Drosophila melanogaster: one gene and its partners. Changing the gene in region 4 together with the main gene of any one other region gives a genetic interaction. Each region holds a gene or a part of one and is shown on either strand. Other genes may lie near its edges. The genes, in order: btl, neb, Bap170 and kni.

What was found.
Region 1: of kni (region 4) and btl, changing one suppresses a phenotype caused by changing the other (phenotypic suppression), as found in Drosophila melanogaster (one study listed by BioGRID).
Region 2: of kni (region 4) and neb, changing one suppresses a phenotype caused by changing the other (phenotypic suppression), as found in Drosophila melanogaster (one study listed by BioGRID).
Region 3: of kni (region 4) and Bap170, changing one suppresses a phenotype caused by changing the other (phenotypic suppression), as found in Drosophila melanogaster (one study listed by BioGRID).

Annotation. Positions count from the first base shown.
Region 1 is NT_037436.4:14,074,059-14,081,808, forward strand, and holds the start of btl (breathless), read left to right. Parts: upstream 1-1,755; intron 1,756-1,817; coding exon of another isoform or gene 1,818-1,887; 5' UTR 1,888-1,990; exon of another isoform or gene 1,991-2,065; intron 2,066-3,006; exon of another isoform or gene 3,007-3,069; intron 3,070-5,396; 5' UTR 5,397-5,553; coding exon 5,554-7,750. Other genes in the region: Pex1 (peroxin 1), read left to right, coding at 1-460, 519-715, 778-1,401, 1,652-1,755, 1,818-1,887. UniProt on the Drosophila melanogaster protein: May be required for patterning of muscle precursor cells: generation of mesodermal and endodermal layers, invaginations of various types of cells, and CNS formation.
Region 2 is NT_033779.5:20,073,786-20,078,778, reverse strand, and holds the start of neb (nebbish), read right to left. Parts: upstream 3,023-4,993; 5' UTR 2,923-3,022; coding exon 1,483-2,922; intron 1-1,482. Other genes in the region: pr (purple), read left to right, coding at 3,754-3,821, 3,929-4,008, 4,443-4,588, 4,651-4,863.
Region 3 is NT_033778.4:6,634,782-6,642,533, forward strand, and holds Bap170 (brahma associated protein 170kD), read left to right. Parts: upstream 1-1,730; 5' UTR 1,731-1,907; coding exon 1,908-2,149; intron 2,150-2,213; coding exon 2,214-3,229; intron 3,230-3,399; coding exon 3,400-6,206; intron 6,207-6,503; coding exon 6,504-7,505; 3' UTR 7,506-7,577; downstream 7,578-7,752. Other genes in the region: Trap1, read right to left, coding at 1-997, 1,074-1,206.
Region 4 is NT_037436.4:20,691,806-20,696,285, forward strand, and holds kni (knirps), read right to left. Parts: upstream 2,752-4,480; 5' UTR 2,652-2,751; coding exon 2,637-2,651; intron 2,536-2,636; coding exon 2,458-2,535; intron 2,243-2,457; coding exon 1,031-2,242; 3' UTR 525-1,030; downstream 1-524. UniProt on the Drosophila melanogaster protein: Transcriptional repressor. Binds to multiple sites in the eve stripe 3 enhancer element. Plays an essential role in the segmentation process both by refining the expression patterns of gap genes and by establishing pair-rules stripes of gene expression.

The DNA of each region.
Region 1 (7,750 bases), 6.6 Mb from region 4:
ACGGAGTCCATCCAAAAAGATCTTCGCAACATTTTTACCAGCTGCCTGCAGCATGCCCCCGCCATTGTTGTGCTAGAAAACTTGGATGTACTGGCCCACGCTGCTGGAGAGCAGTCCAGTCAGGATGGAGAGTACTACAATCGCATGGCGGATACTGTGTATCAGTTGATTGTTCAGTATACCACCAACAACGCTATTGCAGTAATCGCCACCGTCAACGAGTTGCAGACCCTCAATAAGCGATTGAGCTCACCAAGGGGAAGACATGTCTTCCAGACTGTTGCTCGTCTGCCCAATTTGGAACGAGCAGATCGAGAGATAATTCTTCGAGAGCTGTGCAGCCATATCAATGTGGCCAAGGACCTGGATCTTGTTAAGTTCTCCAACCTCACGGAGGGCTACCGGAAATGTGATCTTGTTCAGTTCGTGGAGCGTGCAATATTTTATGCTTATCGCATAAGTGAGTAGTTTGTAGTGTTAGTAAGCAACTTTATCATGTTAAATTCCCTTTTTTCCAGGCAAGACCCAGCCTCTTCTGACCAATGATCAGCTTATTGAGTCCCTGGAGCACACAAACTCGTACTGCCTGCAGGGCATTCAGAGCAATCAAAGAACTGGCAATGATGCCGATGCCAATGAAATGCGCGTCGAGGAGTTGCCTGGCCTGGAGTCAGTTGTGGGAGTTCTGGAGGAGGTCCTTATGTGGCCATCAAGGGTGAGTTTTAAACGAAATATATGTTTTTTTCTAAAATTTAATAAATCATTAATTTCTTACAGTATCCAACCATTTTTAACGCCTCTCCACTGCGCAACCAGGCCGGAGTACTTCTATATGGGCCACCAGGAACAGGTAAAACCTATCTGGTCTCTCAGTTGGCCACATCGTGGAACCTGCGCATCATTTCCGTCAAGGGTCCTGAGTTGCTCGCCAAATATATTGGTCAAAGCGAGGAAAATGTTCGAAACCTGTTCAATCGAGCTCGCAGTGCCCGACCATGTGTGCTTTTCTTCGACGAGTTTGACAGCTTGGCGCCGAAACGTGGTCACGATTCCACGGGGGTCACCGATCGAGTGGTAAATCAGTTGCTCACAGAACTGGATGGCGTTGAAGGACTGCAGGGAGTTACCGTGATAGCAGCTACCTCCAGACCGGAACTGCTAGATCCCGCGCTTCTTCGATCCGGTCGCATTGATCGCTTGGTGGAGTGTCCTTTGCCGGATGCTCCGGCCAGAGTACGTATATTTGAAGCACTCAGTTCAACACTGAGCCTTGATGAGTGCGTGGACTTCGATTGGTTTGCGGGAAAAACTGCAAACTACACTGGCGCCGATATCCAGAGCATCCTGACCTCGGCGAACATGGCGGCGGTTAAGGAGGCGCTAGCTCAATTCGGACACGAGGTGAGCTGGGAATTATTTTCACCGGAAACAATCTGCTTTATGGGTCATGCAAGCTTTCAACCGTTTCTTTCATGTTTTATTGTTTCTCATCCTGATTTCAAATGTAACTTCTATGTAAAAACTCCTTTACGTGTTTGTCTTTTAAATCAAAAGTGAAATCTATGCTACTTCCTGCAACAATGATTAGTCACGTAGTTCTTAGTCTCTGGCCACAGTATAAAATACCATTTGTTTCTTATTGCTTTCCCAGAAACTGGCAAAGAAAATTTCCTTGAAGCAGAAGCACCTGATTGAGTCGTTCCAAACCACTCGTCCTTCGCTCAGCGCCTCCGATGTGGCCAAATATCACAGAACGTACGTAACAATGTCTTCTTTGTTCTTCTGTTCTTCTTACCTTTTTAATTATCTCTTGGTAGGTATGCTCGCTTTACCAACAAGGAGAAGACTTCTAGGGAGTTTGTAGCCAAGCGTGCGACCTTGGCTTAAAGACAAAGACTTATAAGCTTAGCATTATTATTATTTTAAATTGTTTTTTGCATATTTGTACATCTGGAAAATGGAACATTTTGTTGGAAGACGCAAGTCTTAGGTAGTACATATTTCATAATTTTTCTTGTTGAAAAATAAAAACCAAATTTCTTTTATGATTACTTCGTATAAATCCATATACCACTCCGGAGTGTTAAATTGAAAGAATATTATATTTTAATTATAATGTACATACATGTATAAAAAAGAGAAAGAGATGTTCAAATTTAAGAACTAATATCTTTTCGCATTCTGACCTCGGTAAACATGAGTGCTGTTAAGGGGTGGCTCCTTAACAAATGAAGACATCAGGTGAGTTTGGTTATTAATTCACCGGAAATTGTGTTTAGCTATAACAAGTTTTTGATAGCTAGTTTGGATAGTATGTCCCTCCTTTTCGTATTTCCCAACTGTTTCGCATTTGTTCCCATAGCCCCTAACAAGTGCATCAAAAATGCATTTAACTATTTTTGGGTAGATTACGTGCCCGGCATCTGGATCTGGATTTTGGCCTATGCGGGAGCTAGCTGCTGCCATGCCACATGCAGCAACTGAGATTTTTGGATATCAGTCACGTAACGGATATTTCCTTATTGATATGCGATTACCGCGCATGCGCACGTACTGCACACCACTAAGACAATGGACACATTTTCTTTTGCATAAATTAAGCCGCCAAGCAAACAAACAGGGAGGGAACCCGAAGGCCAGATAATAAAGAATTTCAACGAGTCGAAGCCACCGCAAACATGCTTAGAATAAAACCAACAAGAACCTAGCAGAAGCAGCAGCAGCAAACCAGCAATAAAAAGAAAGGAAACCGCTCAGGAAAACTACCAGCGAAAACAATTGCAACATGCGGGAGGGAGACCACCTCGATCAGGTAGCCGTCCGAACCCATACCATCCCATCCGAAGACCCTGTGCCCAGGATCCTAGCAAACATTATCGCAGGGAACCACAGATATCCACTCGTTTCGTATCGTATTGGATCGTATTGGATCGGTTCGGTTCGATCGGCACGTTCGGATCGTTCGTATCGTACCGCGTAAAAGTTTCTTCCGTTTCGATCGTTACTTTCAGTTGTTTGCGCACATTCAAGCCAATCGGTTGGCTCCTTCCACAAACTTTACGGATTACGGTTAGTGCAACGGAAGTGAACCCCCCCCCCCCCCCCCCGCCCAACACCAGCTACCCATCACATATTTCTTTTCATTTATGCCTGGTAAAGGGAAATAAAAGTTGGCAACGAAGCGGAAATGCAAGGCGCCTTCCGCTGCCCTCTTGCCGAGTCTTAAGATTTTTATACAAGCCCCAACCGCGATTGACAGCCGAATAAACATAGTGACAATGTTTTTTGCAATCTTATTTGCCTTCTCCGGCTCCTCGAAAATAAAAGACAAAGAACGTGATTTTTTTGGTCAAAGATTTGGGGTTGTGGCATGGCAGAAAAGAATTGTGTTCCCACTGCGAACTGACAAGCAGCAGTGAAACCAAAATAAAGCAAAAAATAATTTAAGAGTGAATTGTTCCAGCAGTAAAATAAATACAAATCTTTCCAAGTGCAGCCAAAAGATCATAAACCACAGATAAATAAAAACAAAAAGTCTGCAAAGTAACCAAATGTTAAAAATAAAATTTTAATTGAGACAAAGAAACGTGATAAAACTGATTCATACATAATTAAATAAACACCAATGAAATAAATAAGAAAATAAAATTAAAGTGATGTCAATTGTATGAATGAATAATTTATGTCTTGATCCAAACATTCCTTTTACATTAAGTCAATGTTTGCAGAAAGAAAACTGAATGGGGAGTTAATACCCAGGGTTCCAAATAAAGAACTTATTCTATTCTCGATATAGCTGATTGACCAAGTTGAAATATCAAATCGTTCATGCATTAGATTTATACGCTCGATAATAATTCACAAGATAAAAAGGTGTGAGCTAAACGGTTTTGGCCATGTGCGCTTGTGGCTTAAAATCGAATCGAATAATATTGAATGAATGACAAACTGAGAAAAAAATTAAATAAAAATAGCAATAATACATACTTCAAATACAGCGATCGACTCGTATTTGGCAACAAATGAGAAAAAAAGGAATTGAATAAATTAAAACCTGCGACGCGTGTGCATACATACATAAATCGGGCCTGAAGTCAAACGGCTAGCGGCTAGCGGCAATATCGGCTAAAACAACAACAACAATTACTGGCAGCACTAGCACCATATTAACAACAACAATGACAATCGCAACGGTTGTCCCAAGCCTTACAAACAATAAAATACTTTTCATTAAACAGCACAGTGGTCAAAACGATTTTATAAAAGTTAAAAATATTTTAATTTTCTGATAGAAAAAATAGTCGAACTATGCTATGCCCCCATTATTATCAATATTTTCTAAACTTCGTTTAAAACTTTACATTTTGTACAAAGCTTACATTCGCAGACAACAAGTTTGGGAATTTACCCTATCATCATTAATCATTGAACTAAAAATTGTTTATTTTTATTTGGCAAACATTTGACGAACCCAAGTAGATGGAATACCCACTGTCCTATACCCTTTACGTGATTATACTAAAAATTAATTTTGAAATAATTATCTGCTATTAGGATTTTCGAGCAGTGTTATTCAGTGTTTAAAGCATAACTTTATTATAAATATACCTTTTAATTGATTAAAATGCTGAGCTCATATTGCACAGAGAATTTGAATGTTAATTAGTTGCTATTTCAGATTGTGGCAAATCATTTAGGTATTTCTCGATTTGTTGTTGCAATTCTCTAGCACCTTGTCTGTTTGTTTTGTAAGTGCAAGTATAGTACTTGGGGAATAACTGAAAAGTGTGACACCACTGTAACAACTGATTTCAACAAATAGCTAAGTGATTTTCTAACTGTTCGGCATTTAGTTGAATGGAAATCGAGGAGCGCAGGCCGCAGCAACAAAAGCATTTGGCGAACGTCGAATATAGACAAGTTATAATGGAGATCCCCTTCGGTAGTGGGTGGCGACGAGTGTGTCCGGCAATTCGGTGGCTTCGACCACGTCTTCCAGCTCATTACGAAGGCAGGGCACACAGTTTTCGTTTGTTTCAGTTGCTTCTCCTTTGGATTTTTGCATATCGGTGCGGACAGACTTGACTTGGCTGTGTGCCGTGTTGGCAATAAAATATTAAACAATAATAATAAATAAATAAAATGACACAGATCGGGAACTAAGGGAGGGGCAAAAAGTGAAGCGGAGATTTGGCAATATTTATTGATCCACTTATACAGCTGCGGTCAAAAGAATAGTGGCACAATAGTGGTATTCAAGTAACGAATAGCTAATAATATTTGCATTCATAACTTCTTAAATTTAGTTAAATTAAACAAAATTCCAAAGTGTTATTTTTAAAGTATAATATATCAATCAATGCCATGTAATTCATATATTTAATCCTTTCCTTTAGCTGGAGAACGCTCGATTTGAAATCGAGGAACTCGAATGAAGATACCCACAGGAAGTGATATTATTTCGACCGCAACTGTAACCCATATGTACACGATCGTGCCCATCCAGATACGAGATCTTGGTGGCTGTTGAACTCAAGAGAATCCACTTGAATCATGGCAAAAGTGCCGATCACGCTGGTGATGATCATTGCGATCGTCTCTGCCGCTGCGGACCTGGGATGCGATTATGGCCATCATCGTTGCTACATCGATGTGACTGTGGAAAACAGTCCCCGCCAGCGCCATCTGCTCTCCGACATGGACATCACGCTGCAGTGCGTCCGACCCATGGCCAAATGGTTCTATGAGGATAAGTTTCAACTGAGGGCTACCCTTTTGCGACTTGAACGAGCACAGTCCGGAAATTCTGGAAACTACGGCTGCCTGGATAGTCAGAACAGATGGTACAATATTTCCCTTGTTGTTGGCCATAAGGAACCAGTTGGCAATGATATCGCCAGCTTTGTCAAGTTGGAAGATGCACCGGCCCTCCCGGAGTCAGATCTCTTTTTTCAGCCCCTGAATGAGAGTCGATCCCTGAAGTTGCTGCAACCCCTACCCAAAACCGTACAACGGACCGCAGGTGGCCTTTTTCAGTTGAACTGCAGTCCCATGGATCCGGATGCAAAGGGTGTTAATATATCCTGGCTGCACAATGATACTCAAATCCTTGGTGGACGTGGACGCATTAAGCTTAAAAGGTGGTCATTAACAGTGGGGCAACTGCAGCCGGAGGATGCTGGAAGCTATCACTGTGAGCTGTGCGTGGAACAGGACTGCCAAAGGAGTAATCCGACCCAATTGGAGGTGATAAGCAGAAAGCACACGGTGCCCATGCTAAAGCCCGGATATCCCCGCAATACCAGCATTGCCCTCGGGGACAATGTGAGCATTGAATGCCTACTTGAGGACTCTGCCCTGGAGCCGAAGATCACGTGGCTACATAAGGGGAATGCGGACAACATCGATGACCTCTTGCAGCGTTTAAGAGAGCAGTCCCAGCTACCTGTGGATGTTACCCGATTGATTACCCGAATGGATGAACCGCAGGTACTTCGTCTTGGAAATGTCCTGATGGAGGATGGCGGATGGTACATATGCATAGCCGAGAACCAGGTTGGACGCACTGTGGCCGCCTCCTATGTGGATCTTTACAGTCCCTCAGATACTACCACAGTTCGCACGACCACTACTACCACCGTGGCCAGCCCAATACCCACTGCATCCACCGGAGAGGACAACGATGACGACGTGGAAAATCCAGCAGCGGAAGCATCAGGCGGCGTTGGTCCACCTGTGTTCAGAAAAGAGCTGAAACGATTACAGCACTCATTATCGGGAAATACTGTCAATCTAGCCTGTCCAGTGTACGGCAAAGCGAACATCACCTGGACGAAGGACAAGAAGCCGCTAAACCGTGAACTCGGCGTCTATGTGCAAAAGAACTGGACACTCCGCTTCGTGGAGGCCACCAGCGAGGATTCTGGACTATACAACTGTAAGGTGTGCAATGCGTGGGGCTGCATCCAGTTTGACTTCAGTGTCCAAATAAACGATCGCACGAGATCCGCACCAATAATCGTGGTGCCGCAAAATCAGACGGTGAAAGTCAATGGCAGCTTGGTGATGAAGTGCACCGTCTACTCTGATCTGCATCCAACAGTCAGCTGGAAAAGGGTTGTCCTCAAGAATGCCTCCTTGGACGGCCTTAAGTCTGTGGAAATCCAGAATCTCAACTTCACCGTGACGAATGACTCCGTAGTTTTAACGCTTCGTAATGTGACCTTTGACCAGGAGGGCTGGTACACCTGTTTGGCCTCAAGTGGTCTGGGAAGGAGTAACTCCAGTGTGTACCTTAGGGTAGTGAGTCCTCTGCCACCTTTGGAGATCTACGCCCTGCTGCACGCCCATCCTCTCGGATTCACCTTGGCCGCTATTACGATAGTGGCTTTGTTCCTTTTGGGCAGTGCTTTCATAACGTTCATGCTGCGTCGGCTGAGGAGGGAGAAGCTCCTGAAGCTCCGCATCGAAACGGTTCATCAGTGGACTAAAAAGGTGATCATATACCGACCGGGTGGAGAAGAAGGAAGTGGCTGCAGCTCCGGCGATCTTCAGATGCCAGTGATAAGGATCGAGAAGCAGAGAACAACCGTTTCCACAACGGGAACTGGCGGTACTGATCCCGCCCAGGGCTTTAATGAGTATGAGTTCCCGCTGGACTCAAACTGGGAGATTCCCAGGCAGCAGCTTAGCTTGGGCTCCATTTTGGGTGAGGGCGCCTTTGGACGCGTAGTGATGGCGGAGGCGGAGG
Region 2 (4,993 bases), on a different chromosome or scaffold from region 4:
TGTTTGGACTTTCGATCAAGAGCCTCTCACTTGTGGGCGCCATGTAATTACTCATTGAATGCAGTCGAATGATTATAAATTACGTCGCAAATGTCGAGTGCGCCTTTTTTTAGAAGCCAGATACTTGTATTATATAAAACCCTCACTTTCGGATTAACTAGCCTGGTAATATTCCAACAATCAAGTTATTACGAACGTGTGGCGTTCGCTTAAGAGCAGTTGTTAACTTAAAATGCACACATAAGTATGTTACATTGATTGCTAAAGAAAACGCAGTCGTTACTCAATTCAAACAATCGTGAAACAAGTAGCTAATATGTTAACTAATGCACAACATTCAAGTCTCATGACAAGTTTATAACAATTTTCCTGCTAATGCTATGTAAGCATTTGCTGAGGTTTTATAACAAAATAATTATATTACCCGGGTGAAGACACTGCTATCTTTTTATTCGCGTTCTTAAAATAAATTTCTAGAAAGTTTACACGTGCGCCTTTGTATCAGGTCATAAATTTTATGGTCACATAGGAAAAGCAACAACAATAGATTAAATAGATATGATAAGAGGCCAAAATTTTAATCACTCAATTGATTGAGGTGCGGGAGGTCTTTGATTTGGTAGACCTTAATAAAAGGCTTTCCTATCGAAAATGATAAGGAAATAATAATAATAAAAAATACACTAAGTCTGCTGGCAATCTTAGCAAACAAAATAAACAAACGAATGATAACAAGGTTCGAGTTTAGAACTCGAGATCTCTCATATTTAGTCCTATAAAGCGCAGATAAACTCAATCTAATCTCTGGCTGATGTTGTCGTCTTCTTTTCCTTGTTTTTTTCGGACAATTTGACGCTTTATTTTAATTAAAGTAATTAGCACCCCAGTTAATTGATAGAGCCAACATAAATCTGTCTAGCAGCTGCTCCTCGCAGTGCAGACATCATTAAAACAGAATTCGCGTGTCGCGCGAGTCGAGATGATATCTCTGTAGACAGTGGGCTTCATAGCTCATCACGAGATCTGTTGAAAAGACGAATATCTGCCAGCCAGTTAAGTAAACATTTGACCGTACGAACATTTTGTGGGTACTTTCCGCAGGGGTCAACGTGTCATTTGCATGTTGCAGTGCAGTTCTACGTACTGATTGCTTTCCGGGTAATTACTGATTGCAAGGGGACCCCATTCCGTGGGCCACTGCCTAATCGAAGCGAAAGTGTTGATAAGCAATCCTATCGGTGGTGGCAAAAGTGCGGAAAGCATTGCGAATATACATATGCATTTATATTGAAGACATGAGGTTATAAGGTTTTACTGAGCTGAACTTATTCGAAACACATACTTAGCAATCACTTCTGGGTACAATTATTGATTTCAAAAACCAAGGGGATAAGAAAGAGTTATCATTAGCCGAAAGTAGACCAACCTACTGACCCGGTTGATAAGTACAAACGCAGCTAAGAACTATTTCGTAACACTTACCCGCAACAGCCAGGTGAGCACGCTCTCGCGATAGGGAACGAAGGTGCTGGGCGTCCCAGAGCCCAGGGGTCCATTGGCGATCGCCTTGCGGGAATCGGCGAGAGCAGCAATTACTTTCCCCAGCGTCAGCAGGCTCTTGTTGATGCTGACGCCCTCGCGGATCCGCTCGCCGTTCGATCCGGAGACGCTAATGCGTTCGCTGCCCGCCAGGTCCACCAGGCTAATCTTGCTGCGCCGCGTCTGCCGCAGGGAGGAGGCCGTGCTCGAGTCCGTATCCGAGGACAGGCCATCGTCACTGCTCAGATCGGTGAGGTTTAGGACAATGTTGAAGATGGAGTGTGAGCGCGAGCTCTTGTCGTTCATGGCCGTGGAGGCAGTGGCCCGCTGGGAGTTGCCCACGGCAAGCCAGTTGCGGAGTGCCGAGTACGAGTCCACCGAGTGGGCACTCAAGTCCACTACGTAGGGCCCGAAGATGGGATGCTCCCTGACCTTTAGAGCCGGACGCTGCTGCTGTTGTTGCTGCTGGATGGGCGTGGATTCCCCGGTGGCAGCTGCCGCATGCTGGACACTCAGCAGATCGTGTATCTTCTCGTTGTAGATCTCAAAGTAGCTGACCTCCACCTCCACCTGCAGCTGCTGCTGACTTTTCACAGCCTCTATGCGGCGGAATAGCTCGTGGCAGAAGCGTGGAATGATGCCCGCCTCATCGTGCGGCGGTCCGCCATCCAGAGCGGCGTCATCCAATGCTTCAATGCCCATCATGCTGTACGATTTGCCCGAGCCCGTCTGGCCGTAGGCAAACAAGCAGGCATTGTAGCCCTCGAAGGCAGTGTCGATCAAGGGACGCGCTGTGCCCTCAAAGACTTTGGCCTGGCAGGCGAAGTTCTTTCGTTCGGGATCGCACGAGTAGTAGACCTGGTCGTAGCTGAAGAAGTGCGTCACGCCGGCGGAGGCATCAGCACTGCTGCCCGCTTGGACAGTCAGCTCGTTGCTGTTTCCGTGCACCTGGACCACATTGGTGACCTGACCACGTGTGCATTCCAGGGCATTCAGTGGCCGCACTCGCACCGCCACAATCATGTTGCTCTCCTCGGACACGCTGAGGCAGGACTCCATCAGAGAGTCCCGCTCCTTTGTCCTGCTGCAGCTGGATTTCCCGGTGCCGGGCGTCTTTGCTCTTCCAGGAGTAGAGTTCGCATTCCTGTACAGCGACGAGGGTGTGTAGCAGGCATTCAGGGCCGTGGGCTTGGGCTTCGGCTGTGGCGTGCTCCCGCTGAATGCAGTGTTCAGCAGCTGTTCGGGACGATCCCGGTGCTCCCGATCCTCCGCCCGCGTCATCAGCACCTTCTTGCGCATCTCGGATGCCGGCGTGGATTTGTGGACTCCTCGCGTCTGGAACTGCTGGATGCGCTGCCGCACCGGAGTGCTCTTGTTGCTCATGTCTAGATTATTATTTAGGTATCTCTGCTCGTTTTTTAAATAACGCCGAAGAGTTTCGAATTATTGCGCGGCGTCGTTTGTTATTTTTTTTCTAGTGAAGGGCGGCGATCGATAGCAAAGCAGGGTTGATTACAGTGAGCGGCGTGAGGTCCGGCAACGCCACCACGAGCCAGGGATGAACAGCACTTACATACTCTGTTAGCTAACTCTGTTAATCAGCTCATTTAAATTATGAGATAATTGACAAAGAACTAACATGAAATAAATAAATATATAGCGAAATTGTAATAGTGTAAGGATTTCTACCCATACAATAGTCTATTTGTGCAGTTGTAAATCACTGAGAACAGTTGTGGCGGCAAACTGCTCAGCTCTGGCCGATAACCGATACGCGCTGCCTTGTTATCGGGAGCAGCTGTTGACGAGCAACGTAGACAAAAGTAAATATTATTGAAAATCCATAGCAATTAAAGGTGAGTTCCTTGCTGAATTGAGTTTGTTACCATGGCTATAGCATACCACACCCTGTCTTTGCAGCACGCATAGGCACTTGCAACAGAAAACGAGGGAACATCAATCGCTAATCAGCTGCAATTAGCCGCACTCGAAAAGTTCAGAGAAACTAGTTCCGAGCGTGTTGATATCGCAGTCGCCGCATTTGTGGCTTATATTTCCTTGTTCCCTCGATCCAAGTACCATATAAATAAGCGCGGCTCAAAAGCAGGTTTTGCATTCATTGTAAAACATTGCCAAAGCGCGCAGCTGATCAGCCGCATATATAAATCCACATCCAGATACAGATCCAGATATATAGTATAAATCGGACTTGAAATGTCGCAGCAACCTGTTGCCTTTTTAACCCGTCGCGAAACTTTCAGCGCCTGCCATCGTCTCCATAGGTAATTAGATTGAATCAAATTGAATCATTCAATTGCCTGATTCAATCACGGCTGGCAAACCAATTCAGTTCGATTTAAATTGATTGCTGCATCTATTTTCTCTTCAGTCCCCAATTGAGCGACGCCGAGAATCTGGAAGTCTTCGGCAAGTGCAACAATTTCCACGGCCACGGACACAACTATACAGGTAAAAAAAAAAATACCCCTTAAATACACTTAGTCGCATGATTACCTGCAAAGTGCCACACTTATTATCACATAACCCCGGCTCAATCAGGCTTAACCCCCTACTAAACTGGTAATTTGAGCCCAAAGTGGTGCCTAACCATAGCAAAACCTTGGCCGACAAGCTCGCTTATCAAAACCATATTCAAGTTCAACGCTCAAAGGCAATCAATATGTTGACTGGCGACCGAGAATTGATAATGAATAATGGTTCTGAACGAGCATAAAGTGTCGCAAGTGCTCAACTGATTAGAAATTTGGATTATATTTAGATTGTCAATAGCTAAACCTTAAGAACTCAAGCTTGACTCGATGCCGATTATACCAAATTATACCAAAAAATGTGTGAATAGACTACGAAAGATGTTCTTTTATAATCCTTTGTGATCTTTTCAGTTGAGATAACCGTCCGTGGTCCCATCGATCGGCGAACCGGAATGGTGCTAAACATCACCGAGCTGAAAGAGGCTATAGAAACTGTGATTATGAAGCGCCTGGACCACAAGAATCTCGATAAGGATGTCGAATACTTTGCCAATACAGTAAATAACCAGCAAGCACAACACAACTTACCGTACTTATCCTTTATATCTATCCCCCCCAGCCAAGCACCACAGAAAACTTGGCCGTTTACATCTGGGACAACATCCGTCTGCAGCTGAAGAAGCCGGAGCTGCTGTACGAGGTGAAGATCCATGAGACCCCAAAGAACATTATCAGCTACCGCGGCCCGTATCCGCTCAATGGCATCTACAACCCCATCAACAAACGCATCGCTCACGATTCGTGCACCAACATCTCGTCGGATTCGGATTGAACATTCGAAGATTGTGACATCGCCTAACGAATTTTTTGATTGGACCAATGATCAGCGAAGACTCAGCCAACCTCTTAAGCACGCGCGTAGAAAAGGACACTTACCATGTAAGGGAATGAAAAGTTATACG
Region 3 (7,752 bases), on a different chromosome or scaffold from region 4:
CCCTTTACAAAACGCAGCCACTTGGGCAGCAGATGCTCAGTCTTGGACTGAATAAGCACCTTGCGGGTGTAAAGAGCCACACCGGTGTTTCCGTCCCGAGACATCTCGAATAAACCAGGCTTTCCTTCGGGGAAGTAGAGCAGTGCATGGATGCTCAAGGGTACGTCAGCATTATAGTGTAAGGTGAAGCGCGGGACATCGAAGCTATTGCTAATGAACCGATAGAAGTCATGGTGCTGCTCCTTGCTGATGCTTTGTGGCTCAAGAAGCCACAGAGGCTTGATCTCATTGGCCTGCTTTCCGTTAAGCAAGATGGGTGAGCCCACAAAGTTGCTGTATTTCTTGATTACCGCCTTGATCCTCTCCTCGTCCGCATATTCACGGCAATCGGTCTTTAAATGAAGCACGATTCGCGTTCCCAACTCAACGTCAGGCACCTCTTCGATCTCGTAGGTTCCACTGCCATCCGTGGACCAACGCAGTCCGGGTGCATTAGGCACAGCCGCCCTCGTGAACACCTCCACCTTATTGGCGACAATGAAGGAAGAGTAAAAGCCCACGCCGAACTGACCAATAATGTTCGAGGATGCCTCCGAGCTGGCTCCCTGCTGGGTCCCCTTCATCTGCTCCAGGAACTTCTTCGAGCCGCTGCGTGCAATGGTGCCCAGGTTGCTGACCAGCTCCTCCTTGGTCATGCCGATGCCCGTGTCCTGGATGATTAGCTGCATCAGTGGCTTGTCGGTGGTGATACGAATCTCCAGAGGCCGGTCCTTTCCAGCCAGATTCTCGCCTCCAGCGCTCAACGAGGTGTACCGAAATTTCTCCAGCGCATCGCTTGCATTCGAAATAAGCTCGCGCACAAAGACCTCGTGGTCGGAGTATAAGGAACGAGCCACAATGTCAAGTAGCTGGCGCGTCTCTGCCTGGAACTCATGCTTGTCCACCACTGATCCTGATGCCTGCTTGGTCTCCGTGGAGTAGCGACGGAGCGAGAGAGCTGCAAGTGAAAAGATGAGTGTTATGTAAACATAAGAATCCCTCCGGGGAGCCGGTTGCTTATATTCAGTGCTTACCACCCGGCGAATGCTGCGATCCAATGGTGATATTGAACGCTGCTGGGGCGGATCGGTGACTCTGCCTCAACACTTGGGCACAGCGACCGAGGCGGCACGCCTGGCCCAGCACTCCCATCGCTCGTACAGACATCTTGTTGTTTTAATGTTTTGCCCAACTTTAATGTTACCCAACTACGAAGTTTGTTCCAGCGCACATGTGTGCACAGTGTAGCCAAATCAATCGATTGTAAGTATTCGATAATAGTAAACTGGTAAAACCCTACTCATAACGGTGTTTTCTTCCAAATTTCTGGGCTGTAATGAATTTTGGACTCAAATGCTTAGTTGGTTTGAATAAGAGTTACTACATGTAATGGAGAGTTCAGTTTCATCACATTATTCAGCTCAAAACTGAAGCAAACTGCCAGCTGACTAGTTCTCTAAAGATTTCGATCAGCAAGAGAGAGAGAGAGAGATAGAGATGTTTCAACTGTGAACAACAAACCGTAAATTCTGAAGGAATTAAGAACAGATTACGTTTCATTGTTTAGCCAATGTAGATTGGATGCTGATTTTTGAGTTATGAAATAACAAATGTCTTCAAAGAAGACAGTAAATAAAAGAAAGTTAAATCAAATCCAATATTGAAAGACATCGATACCTCATATCGATATACGGTCCAATTGCTGACAGCCCTGCTCGTGAATGCAACTCTGCTGTAGCGCGTCAGCGTCGCGTTGTAATTTTTGTTGAGTTTTTTAAATAATTTTAATTAGCATCTGCGTGTCTTACTATTAGAATATCATGTGTTAAGTGTTTCCCATTCACGCCACCACACAAAAAGATCCAATCATGAGCGCCACCACCATCGACAACGTACGGGTGCTGCTTCAGTCGCTGCCTGCTGCCGCCGTAAACAGCGCCACTCAGCCGGGCGATCTACAGACGCCGGGCAAGATTGCGGCCCCAGCGACTCCCCTTCGCGCCAAGAATCCCGCCCAATTACAGATCATGCCGGAGAAGGTCGAGGAGATGCCGCCGTCACCTCCGGAGGAGTTCTGGAGGGACCTGCAGCAGTTTCACGAACGACGCGGGTGAGTTGCCGCGGCTCTCCTGTATTTGGAGACGACCTAACCCACTTTCCCTCTGCCCAAACAGCACTCCATTGACACAGCCCGCCAGGATCAGCGGTAAGCATGTCGACCTGTACAAGCTGTACAACGAGGTAACCGAACGAGGCGGCTTTAATAAGGTGACCATGCGGGACGAGTGGGACGAGGTGTACAGCGCCATGGAGACATTGCGGGAGCGCTGCGTTAACGGAACGGCTAGTATCAAGCACATCTACAGACGCTACCTGGACAAGTACGAACGGTTGAACTTCTTTGGCGAGGATCCAGACAAGATGGAGGCTCTGGAGGCGGCTATTGAGATTGTAGAAATGGGCGGTGGACGCTCGCGATCTCGTTTTTTGGCTGGCGCCGGTGGTGGCCTAGGAAGCATTTTTGGATCAGCACACTCTACGTTGCCGGCGGTGCCAATGGCCTACAACCAGCGCCAGCACTCTGTTAATGTGGAACGACGCCGACAGTACAAGATGTCCACGCAGTTGCACCGACACAGCAGCTACGAGAAGCTGCTGTTGTCTCTGCTTTCTCCGCTGCCCAATGAGCAGGACTTCGCCATAAACGTGTGCACACTTATGGCCAACGAGGCGCGCCACACCCTACAGCTGTCCGAGTGCCCCAAACTGCTTGATGTGCTGCTTGCTCACCTGGGAGTCTACGCTGACTTCACCATGCGCCAGCTGTTCCAGCACAGTTACACCGAGGTTCGACACCATTCGCAGCTCAGTTTCTGGCGCGACCTGCTACACGACAAGCCACAGGTCCTAGAGCTCTACACGGATGAGCAGGCCTGGCTGGACAACGGTCTGATAAGTAAGGAGGACGGTGAGAACTCTGCCGCTCGAAGTGAACTGCTGGCGGCCTGCGACGAGTTGCACTTCCTTAATCTGCGCCGGAGCAACGGGACTGATGAGCGCATGGGCCAGCGAGTGCTTCAGATTGTCCAGCTAGTCCGTACACTCAGCTTTCATCAGGAGAATCATGCACTCTTGGCCTCCAACCGCACGTTGTGGCGATATTTGGTCATGGGAGCAAACGTACGATGGAGTAAGTTTTTTTTATCTGCTTAGAAATTATATTTTTTGGCGCTTTGAATGTACGAAGTATCAAGGTGCTATCATAAATACACTGCAAGGAAATTGACTATTGCGTAGCATAGCAATCCCGAAAGAATCAATTTAAAATAAAATAACTGAAACACGTTTCGCTCGTTCTAGGCAACATTCACATCCAGGCCCTCGAGACCGCTGGCAACCTGGCTCAACAATTTGAGCTGCTAGACCCCACCACTGACGAGCTATCGCGGAATCTTTTAGCTACTCTCTGCGAGGGTATTGACTCTAACGACCGCGCGGTGATCATGAGCTGTCTGGAGATACTCTATAAGTTGTGCGGACGAGAAGGCAATTCGCAGCACATCAATCGTTGCCTTGGCCTGGACTTTTACCAGCGAGCCATGTTGCTCCTCTCGCTTACCGACGTCATGATGATTATCTTTACGCTGGAGGCAGTTTACGCACTAAGTGCTCTTGGCGCTCGGCCATGTTCGATGCTGATGCAAGTACGTGGCCTAATAGACCAGCTGGTGACCCTTATCACAGTGGAGGCTCAGTCATATGGCACAGGCGGTTGCATATTAATGCGTGTCGTAGAGGTTTTCCCCGGAAACATGGCTGCCTCGCTGGCTCAGAACATGCCCGCCATTCTTGCTCCAGGTCCCACTTCCCTGACTACACTTCCAACATCGCTGCAAGTAGCTGTTAAACCGCCAGCAGTTTTACCCACGCCTACACCCGCCCAGACGCAAGTGCTGCCTCACGGAGAGCAAACACCCTTGGTTACAGCTCTCCCCGGTCTGCCAATGCCCAGTCTGCCACAGGTTCAATTGCCTGTACCCAGTCTGCCGCAGGTACAATTGCCACCAATCGCTGCCACCGTGACCCTTCCCAGTCTGCCCTCCGCCTCCCAGAGTTTTACACACGAGGACGAACAGTATGCGCTGGCTTGGCTGGGAGCCACGTATGAACGGGCTGGGAACGGTAACGATCTCCGTGTGGAACAAGCGGAACTATACAGAATATATTTATCGCATTGCCAGAAGGCGGGTAAGCTTTCAGTGGTTAATCACATGCAGTTTCCTCGTCTAGTGCGGCTTATATTTAATCAATCGGTGGGACCAGTAATTGTACGGCACCTGGACGGAATAGAGCTACCTGGGACGTACTACGTAGGCATTAGGATGCGAGCTCAGCCGCTAGCCATGCAACAGAGACCCACCCCCAGCATTGTTCCTGTTAAAAAGGACACGCCAATATTGCCCAAGCAACCATTTAGTGATCCTGTTCAAACGGAAGTGGCGTCTGAGGAAAGCGTTTCTTCTGCAGTCACGCCACCCCCAAGCTCCTCGCTCATCAAAAGCTTGTTGGCCAACAAGGTAACTGAACGCCAACAGAAGCAGAAGGCCCAAGCTCAGACGCCGCAGCCGCCAGCCCTTGTGGCTACCACGGCATCGGGCACAAATGCTACCCAGCCCATCAAGGTAACCTCAACAGCTATAAGCGCCTTCGTGAACAACCCGCTAATGCAGCACACACCGGTGAAGGTGGGTCAGACTACCATTAAGCCGTTGCACCCCCAGATGGCCATCGAAAAGAAGCCAATCACTGATTCGGCCCCGCCACCTCTCGCTCCATTGAGTGGTGCAAACGTAGTGACGAAAGACGCCAGCGGGCGCACTCTCATCATTGCATCAGCAGCTGCCAAACGAAAATTAACCATTGACGAGGAGCAGAATAAGCGTCTGGCTTTAGATGCCGCTGCCAGCAGTTCCAGCAGCTCATCTTCTGGCGGCAAGGAAGAAGCGCAGGTGACTCCCTCGAAGAATGCAGCCAATCTCTATGCGGATCTGGCGGCATCTATTTTGGAGGATGAGGATATGGATGACGTTCCACCGCTGGCCAAACCAAGCCAGGAGCAAAGCCAGCAGCACCCGCAACAGGCACAGCAGCTTCAACTCATTCCGGCTAAAGTGCAACCAACCCAACGTCAACTTGTTTTCCCCGGTAGCAATGTGGTTTCTCCAGCTCCGCATTCCCAACTAAAACTTGCCACCACGGCCACCATAAAGACGGATCAGGGCTTGCAAACTGTGCCAGTGATCCTGCAGCCCAAGACTGCAATGGATTCCACGCCAGCTCCGCAGACGCAATATGTTCTGGCCACCAACCAGCAAGGCCAGACGTATCTTGTGGCCCAGCAGCCGACTATTCCGACATCCACGCAGTCGGCACCACCCACTCTGCTGGTGACGCAAACACCACAACAACAAACGAAGACCATAATAATCCTGCAGCAGCCAGGAGGAGTCTCTGCGGCGAACGTGGCTGGCACTCAGAAAATGATAATGACAACGGCGCAGGGCCAGCAGGTCCTGGTTACCACCACCACAGCTCCACAACTGGCCCAACCGCGTACTTCTACCCCCCAGCAGCAAATCTTTATCGCACCCCAGCGACCAGTTCCGGCGTTGGGTGCTGGCCAAATGTCGCCTTCACTGCTGTCGCAGTTGAACCAGATCCCGGCTACTATAAAGCTTCATCAGCCCCAACCACAGCCGCAGCTCGTTTCGCCGCAATTAGCACCCCAGCAGCGATTAGTTGCCGCAAAGCCGGGCGCTTCATTGCCCATTCCTCAGCTCCAGCAACATCAGTCTATCATCCAGCAACACATAATCTCGGGCCCCTCCACTCCTACTTCCACAGTTGGCGGTACGGTTGGTGGGGAAAAGAGGCAGGTAATTCTGGGCGGAATCAAGGAGACCACGCTAATTACCCAGACGTCGGCCACACCGGCTCCCCTGCAGCAAAGCCAGCTTAACTCGCAGACGATCATCACTCAGTCACCTACCAGCACGGCTATCGTAGGAGGCGTGGCTCTTCAGCAGCAACATCACATTCGATCTGTGTTGGACCAGCAGCAGCAGCATCATCCATCCATCATCCAACAGAAGATAACCATGCCGGCAGTAAGTTGGGAACTGGGGCCGAAATTAAAGAATTATTATTTTTTTTTAAGTATATATACAAGGGTCATTGAAAAGTATGTAAACAGCTTAAAATTTGATTTCATAATATGCCCATGCCCGTTCTAAATCCCATAAATCGCATCACATTCACATTCCCCATTTTTAAATGTTTCCATCGCGTTTTCACTACTTGAGTGGCGGGTTTTACAGGATCTCTTTTCTAAATAGCCAACAGGTGTATGGTAATAAGAATTGTGCTAAGATGACTAAAACAAATATTTTAATATATTATTTTAGATTTCCGAAGCGACCAAACCGAAAATAGCACCCGTTCCAGTTTCACCAACTGTAACTCTCCTAGCAAAAAAGCCGGCGCCGCCACAACCTGCTCAAGTATCTAGCCCCAAGCCATCAGTCACCCAGGCTGTTGTGGTAACGACGTCAGGAACTAGTGATTCAACGGAAGGCGGCAAAACAGTTGTCTTAGCAACCAGCGAGGCCAAGCCAGCGGAATCAGAGGTAGTAGCACAGACGGTTGTCCCACCTGCTGTCGTAACTACAGGTCCCAGCAGCAGTTCTTTGGTTGTCAGTCAGAGCGTCTACGCTGCTTCTGGCCCGAATGCCAACCCCACGCCCTCTCCCATGCCCGTGGATGCAAATTGGTTGTACATCTGCGACTGGCGGAACTGTCCCCGCAAGAAATTCAAGTCTCTTAACGAGCTGCAGTACCACGTGTGCAGTGTCCACTGTCCAGATCACCTTGATTCTGATGCCGACATTTATTGTCAGTGGGGCAGCGGACCCAACTTCTGCGACAACAGAGCGCGCAAACGGTACTCATTGATGACGCATCTGATTGACCGGCACCTGACAACGGAGAACTTGCGCGCCAGTGTGCAACGTCGCCTGGCAACTGGGATTCACAATGTGGCGCCCACCCAGGCTCCCGTGACCATAGTGCGCAACGAGGGTCATGCCCAACGATTGGCGGGAGGCGCTACTGGTTCACCTTCGGGTCCTGCTTCAGCGGTTCCAGTCGTTGGCAGCGCCGCAATGCAAGCTATGAACCGACACACGACTGATTACACGAACGCTAAAGAGCTGATGGACGAAAATGAGGGTCCAGTCACCAAGAGCATCCGTCTGACAGCGGCGCTCATTATACGCAACCTGGTCACCTACTCGGCTACGGCCAAGAGAAGCCTGAAACGCTATGAGTCACGCTTGGCCAATGTCGCCTTTAGCAATGTGGAGGCTAGCGGAGTGCTCTCCCACATCATGTACGAATTGAGCCAGTAAGCCGATATAGCTTACCATCAATATGATTATTTAACTGACTTGTAAGAACGACACTAAAAAAATGTGAAAAGCAAACCATACCTTGTTTGTCTAAATGATTCATACCATATAGCACCAAAATATGGGAGATTCGGGAGTAAGATTTTAATTTGACTTCTACAATTCTACGAGGCTTAGAATTAAAGAGCTATGGTGGACATTATCAGATATACTCCTGGTTAGCAAATAAACGTTTTGAATTAATCGT
Region 4 (4,480 bases):
CGTGGTTAACGAACATCGAGCCAAAGACACCGCCGATCAGATATATGTATATGGATATATGCTCGCATGTTTGAACAGAACTGATTTTGAAACAAGAGCGGTAGCTGAATACGTAAATAATTTATTGGCTTTGATCCTATAGGAATGTGCGGTAGCCGACAAACTTCGTTGATACATCCAGCAGATACATCCGAAAGATAGTTTGCACCAGACATATAGTCCATAATAATGTGCTTAAACAAATCAGAAGAGTTCGTTAACTTTAAGGTACAACGAATACGTTGTATGAGTATTTTTAAATAATTTTCTTAAAGTGTTTGTTTTGTAATTAAATACACTTTTCTATGATGTCACAACTAAAATTAAATCAATAAAAGCAACACCGAAGTAAACGTGCCGTGGAATTAATGAGCTTCAAGACGACATTGTAAATAAGTTAGTTCAATTATCCATAAGCAAAAACTTCAAATATGAATTTGTGTATTCTGAAATACACCGAAAAGCATTGGAAACGACAAAAGTTTAATTTTTAATAGTTTTTATTTTTCTTTGTATAAAACTAAATGCCAATCTTTAGACATACCATAACTAGGACTATAATAGAATAAAATACTTAGAGACAATAAAGATCATTCTTAGACTTAACAATTTGTATGTACAATAGCATTTGAGGGTGGGAATGATTACTACTTCTACGGCTCTTCCGCCGGCTAACTTTAAAATACAATTGCAAACAAGCTCAAAGATATATTTACAATTTTAACGTTTTCATAAAAAATAATTTTTGGATCCGAGCTCAATAGGTGAGTGTGAGTGTGTGTGTGGTGGTATATAGGTGTATGTGTGCGAGTGCAATGCAACTACCTGGTCAGGCTGTCTCTTTCCAGCAAAACCTGTCTGTCCCTATCTCTTTCCACTTCCCTAAGTGTGAGCGAGCACACGAATAAATTTACATTTTCTTTAAGTAACAAAAAATAAACAACGAGGGTTTTTGGGGCGACTCCTCCCACTTGGTTTTTTCGCCGTGTACTTAGACACACACGAATATTCCCCTCATGGCACTAGCCGCATTGTGGGCCACCGCGAAGCCACCGAAGTGGGTGGCCTCTGCACCACCTAGCTTCTGCCGCTTGACTTCCGCATGGGCGGTGGTGGTGTTCGGTGAGTGGGCGGCGGAGTGGGAGGAACTGCTGCTGCTGGTGGTCAGGCACTCGGCCTCCAGTTGGTAGAACTTCCGGCGCGGAGCCACCTCCACTTCTTGATCCTCGGAGCCGCTGTCGTTGAAGCTGTGCACGGAGCTCCGCGAGGTCTTCATGCTCAGATCCATGGGTCCTTCTTGAGCGGAAACGGTGGGAGGATGCACTGGTACAACGCTGGTGGTTTCGCCGCCAATGGAGCAAACCGAAACGGGCGACAAGCTCTGCATCTTGGCCGCAAAACTCAGCGGGCTGCTGCTAGTCGGAGTGGTTGGCGTGGCTCGGATGGCAATGGGATGCAGGAGGCTTGCGGACGACTGATGGCTGTGCACGGAGTGAACATCCTCCTCCAGGCAGACATCGATGGGCGACTGGCGGGCCGAGGAGGTGGGCTGCACCACTGGTGGCTGGCTGGCGGGACTAAAGCGGTTCTGCGACTCAACGGAATCCACGCTCTGGCGGTGCTTGTACATCTCCTGCCGGTAAGCGGCATCGGCAGCAGAAGCCGCTGCAGCGGCAGCACTTGCATGGTAGCCTGGGAAGAGGAGGTGTGGGGGCAGCTGGAAGGGCGACTGGTGCGGTACACCGCCCATCATGCTGAAGAAGGGCAGGGCGGCGGATGGGTCGGACAGATAGCTGGGATAGCCCAGCAGAGGCATATGTGGATGACGCGGCACCTGCTGCTGCTGCTGCTGCTGATGATGGTGGTGCAAATGGGCGGCCATGTCCCCAAATCCGGGAGTGTGTGGCGAGCCCACCGGGGAAGAGGCCGACGGGGCACCACCCACCGATACGCCACCCGCTAATGGAGGCGCCTTGCCCGCCGCTGCGGCGGCCTGTTCGTGCTCCTGCAGCAGACAATGGATCTTGAACCAGTTGGAGCGACGTCCGTAGCGGGATCCCCCCTTCGACATGCCCACGTTGTAGCACTTCCTCAAGCGGCACGCCTTGCAGGTGGTGCGGTTCTTCTTGTCGATGATGCACTTGCCCTCGTTCTTGCACTCGCTGATGGTGCTGATGTTGTTGTAAGAGCGGCCAAAGAAGGACTGCAATGGCGAAGGGAAGGACGAATGTGGCTTAGTTATGTGGTATGCAACTCATTAGCAAAAGAAGAGCAGAAATTCATTCAAGAACTTAAGGCCAATGGTACAACGATTTGAATCGCCGATGGCCTGTTCCTCGAACATTTCTAAAACTAACCCCTTGGGGGGTTACGTTCTGCTAATTTATTTGTCAATGGATTTCTTGAGACACAACTTACCTTGCAGCCCTCGCAGGTGAAGGCGCCAAAATGGAAGCCCGCCGCCGGCTCACCGCACACTTTGCATGTCTGGTTCATCTGGAAGATTGTAAAGAAATCCCGCGTTAGTAAGGGTTTAATCCACTGGTCGAGAGGTATATGTGTAATCCACAAGTAGGCGAACGGCTCTGGACACTAACCAAGTTGAACACCATTTTGGAATGATATTTGTTGGAATTTTGAATGCTTTTCTCACGATCGCTGTGAGGATCTGCTGTATGATCTGTTCGCTTGGAATGCTGCTGAGCAACTGATGCTGAGCTCTAGGCGGGCCAGGATATATATAGGAAACTGGGAAAAACTAGACAGGATGGGCGTTTTTTATGATCACAACAGGCCAAAAAACTTAAGCTGCCGGATTATGCAACCCTATGCGTTCATTTTCATTTTTTTCGCGCTGTCCAGTCATAAAACTCAGGTAGATTTTCTTTTTTATTCGAAGTCATTACGAGTGCTGCGAAAATAGTGTTCCCTAAAAAAATGCAGCAGCAGTCCAGACCTTGACGTTCGGCCATAAAAACTCACGCCGATTTTTCCCGAGTCAAACAAAAAATAGAAAATTCGGCTTATGAAAATTGTGATTTTTTTCCCGCTGCCTCGGGACGCAAAAAAATAAGGAAAAGATGGAAATGTGGCCGTTAGTTTTTCGCGTGAAACAGTAAAAAATAAAAGTAGTGCACAAGGGATCGTAAAATTTGCCGACGGCCGCGACCCAAAAACAAGAACCGTGAATTGACTTTGATCTCATGTTGTCTCCCTCGCTCAGAACTTACCTTTTTGCTTTTTTTTGTTGGATGGGCACTAGGTTTATGACGACTTTTTAATTGCAGCGATTCGCGATCGTTGCTGCACGTTTTCTCACTTTGGCAGTTTGTGTCTGTTATTTTTTTTTTTTTTGTTTTGTTTTCGGTTTGCAAGCACTTTTCGATCAGTCTGAGTGATTCAGGTTTTCAACACTTTGATTATAATTTTGGATACGATTTGATGTGATGTATGGTTTTTGATCGCCGAAACAACGCGGTTTGGGAATCCTCGATGTGTGTAACTGACACTTCGGCTACTAGCTGACGACTGATTTCTGGCTGAGAGGTTCGACTGGCAAGAAGCGTTTCTGTGTTTCGCCTACTGGCCGAACTCTTTGGCTTATGTACTCGCACTCACACCAAAGCAAACTTACCAGTTTTCAGCCCCAGCTCTCTGATAAATCACGGCTGAAACCACCACCTTTAAGACTCGGATCGAGTGAGAGAGCGATCGAGCACGCACACATGCGCATTGAGTTCGAACCCCACTCGAGCGAAATGTTAGCAGAATGTTAACGCTCTGTTGTTGAATGAATAGAAAACACTCACTCACTCATTCAGATCTCACGCTCAGTCTCTCTCTCTCTCTCGATTTTGAGTTCCCTGTAATCAGGCTATTTGCATGGCCCTGATATTATTCGTTATTCGTTTATTTATTAAAGATACTCGCGTGCTAAGGGCGGCTGGATTTCTCACTCACTCGAACACCACACACACACACACACACCACATTGACTAAGCTATTGACTTCATTTTTAACAGCTGCTCATTTTTTTGGCATGGGCGGAGCCGTTTTGGCTGCTCGAAATCGAAATGGTTGGAGGCCAATTCGCTTGGGGTTTTCTTTTCAAAGTCCGCCGGTTTTTGGGTACATTTAGAGTTGCCTGTATGCCTAACACCTAGTTTGATTTTCAAAACCTTTTTCCGCGGGAAATATTCCCACTTTCTGTGTGATTCACAAACTGATTCTCAAGATTTCATGAAATGTGTTAAAATTTGCATAACCGCGACTTGGCAATAAATTGAAACGCTTTAATTAGAAGTTAATCAATAAGAGATCTGCATTGATTCATAGCAAAAAAACGATAGTTGAGTATTATTGAGTATGTAATTGCGTCCGAAAAGTTATAAAAAATACTATTTAGACGGGCTATTACCCGGATTCAGAATGATTCATATTA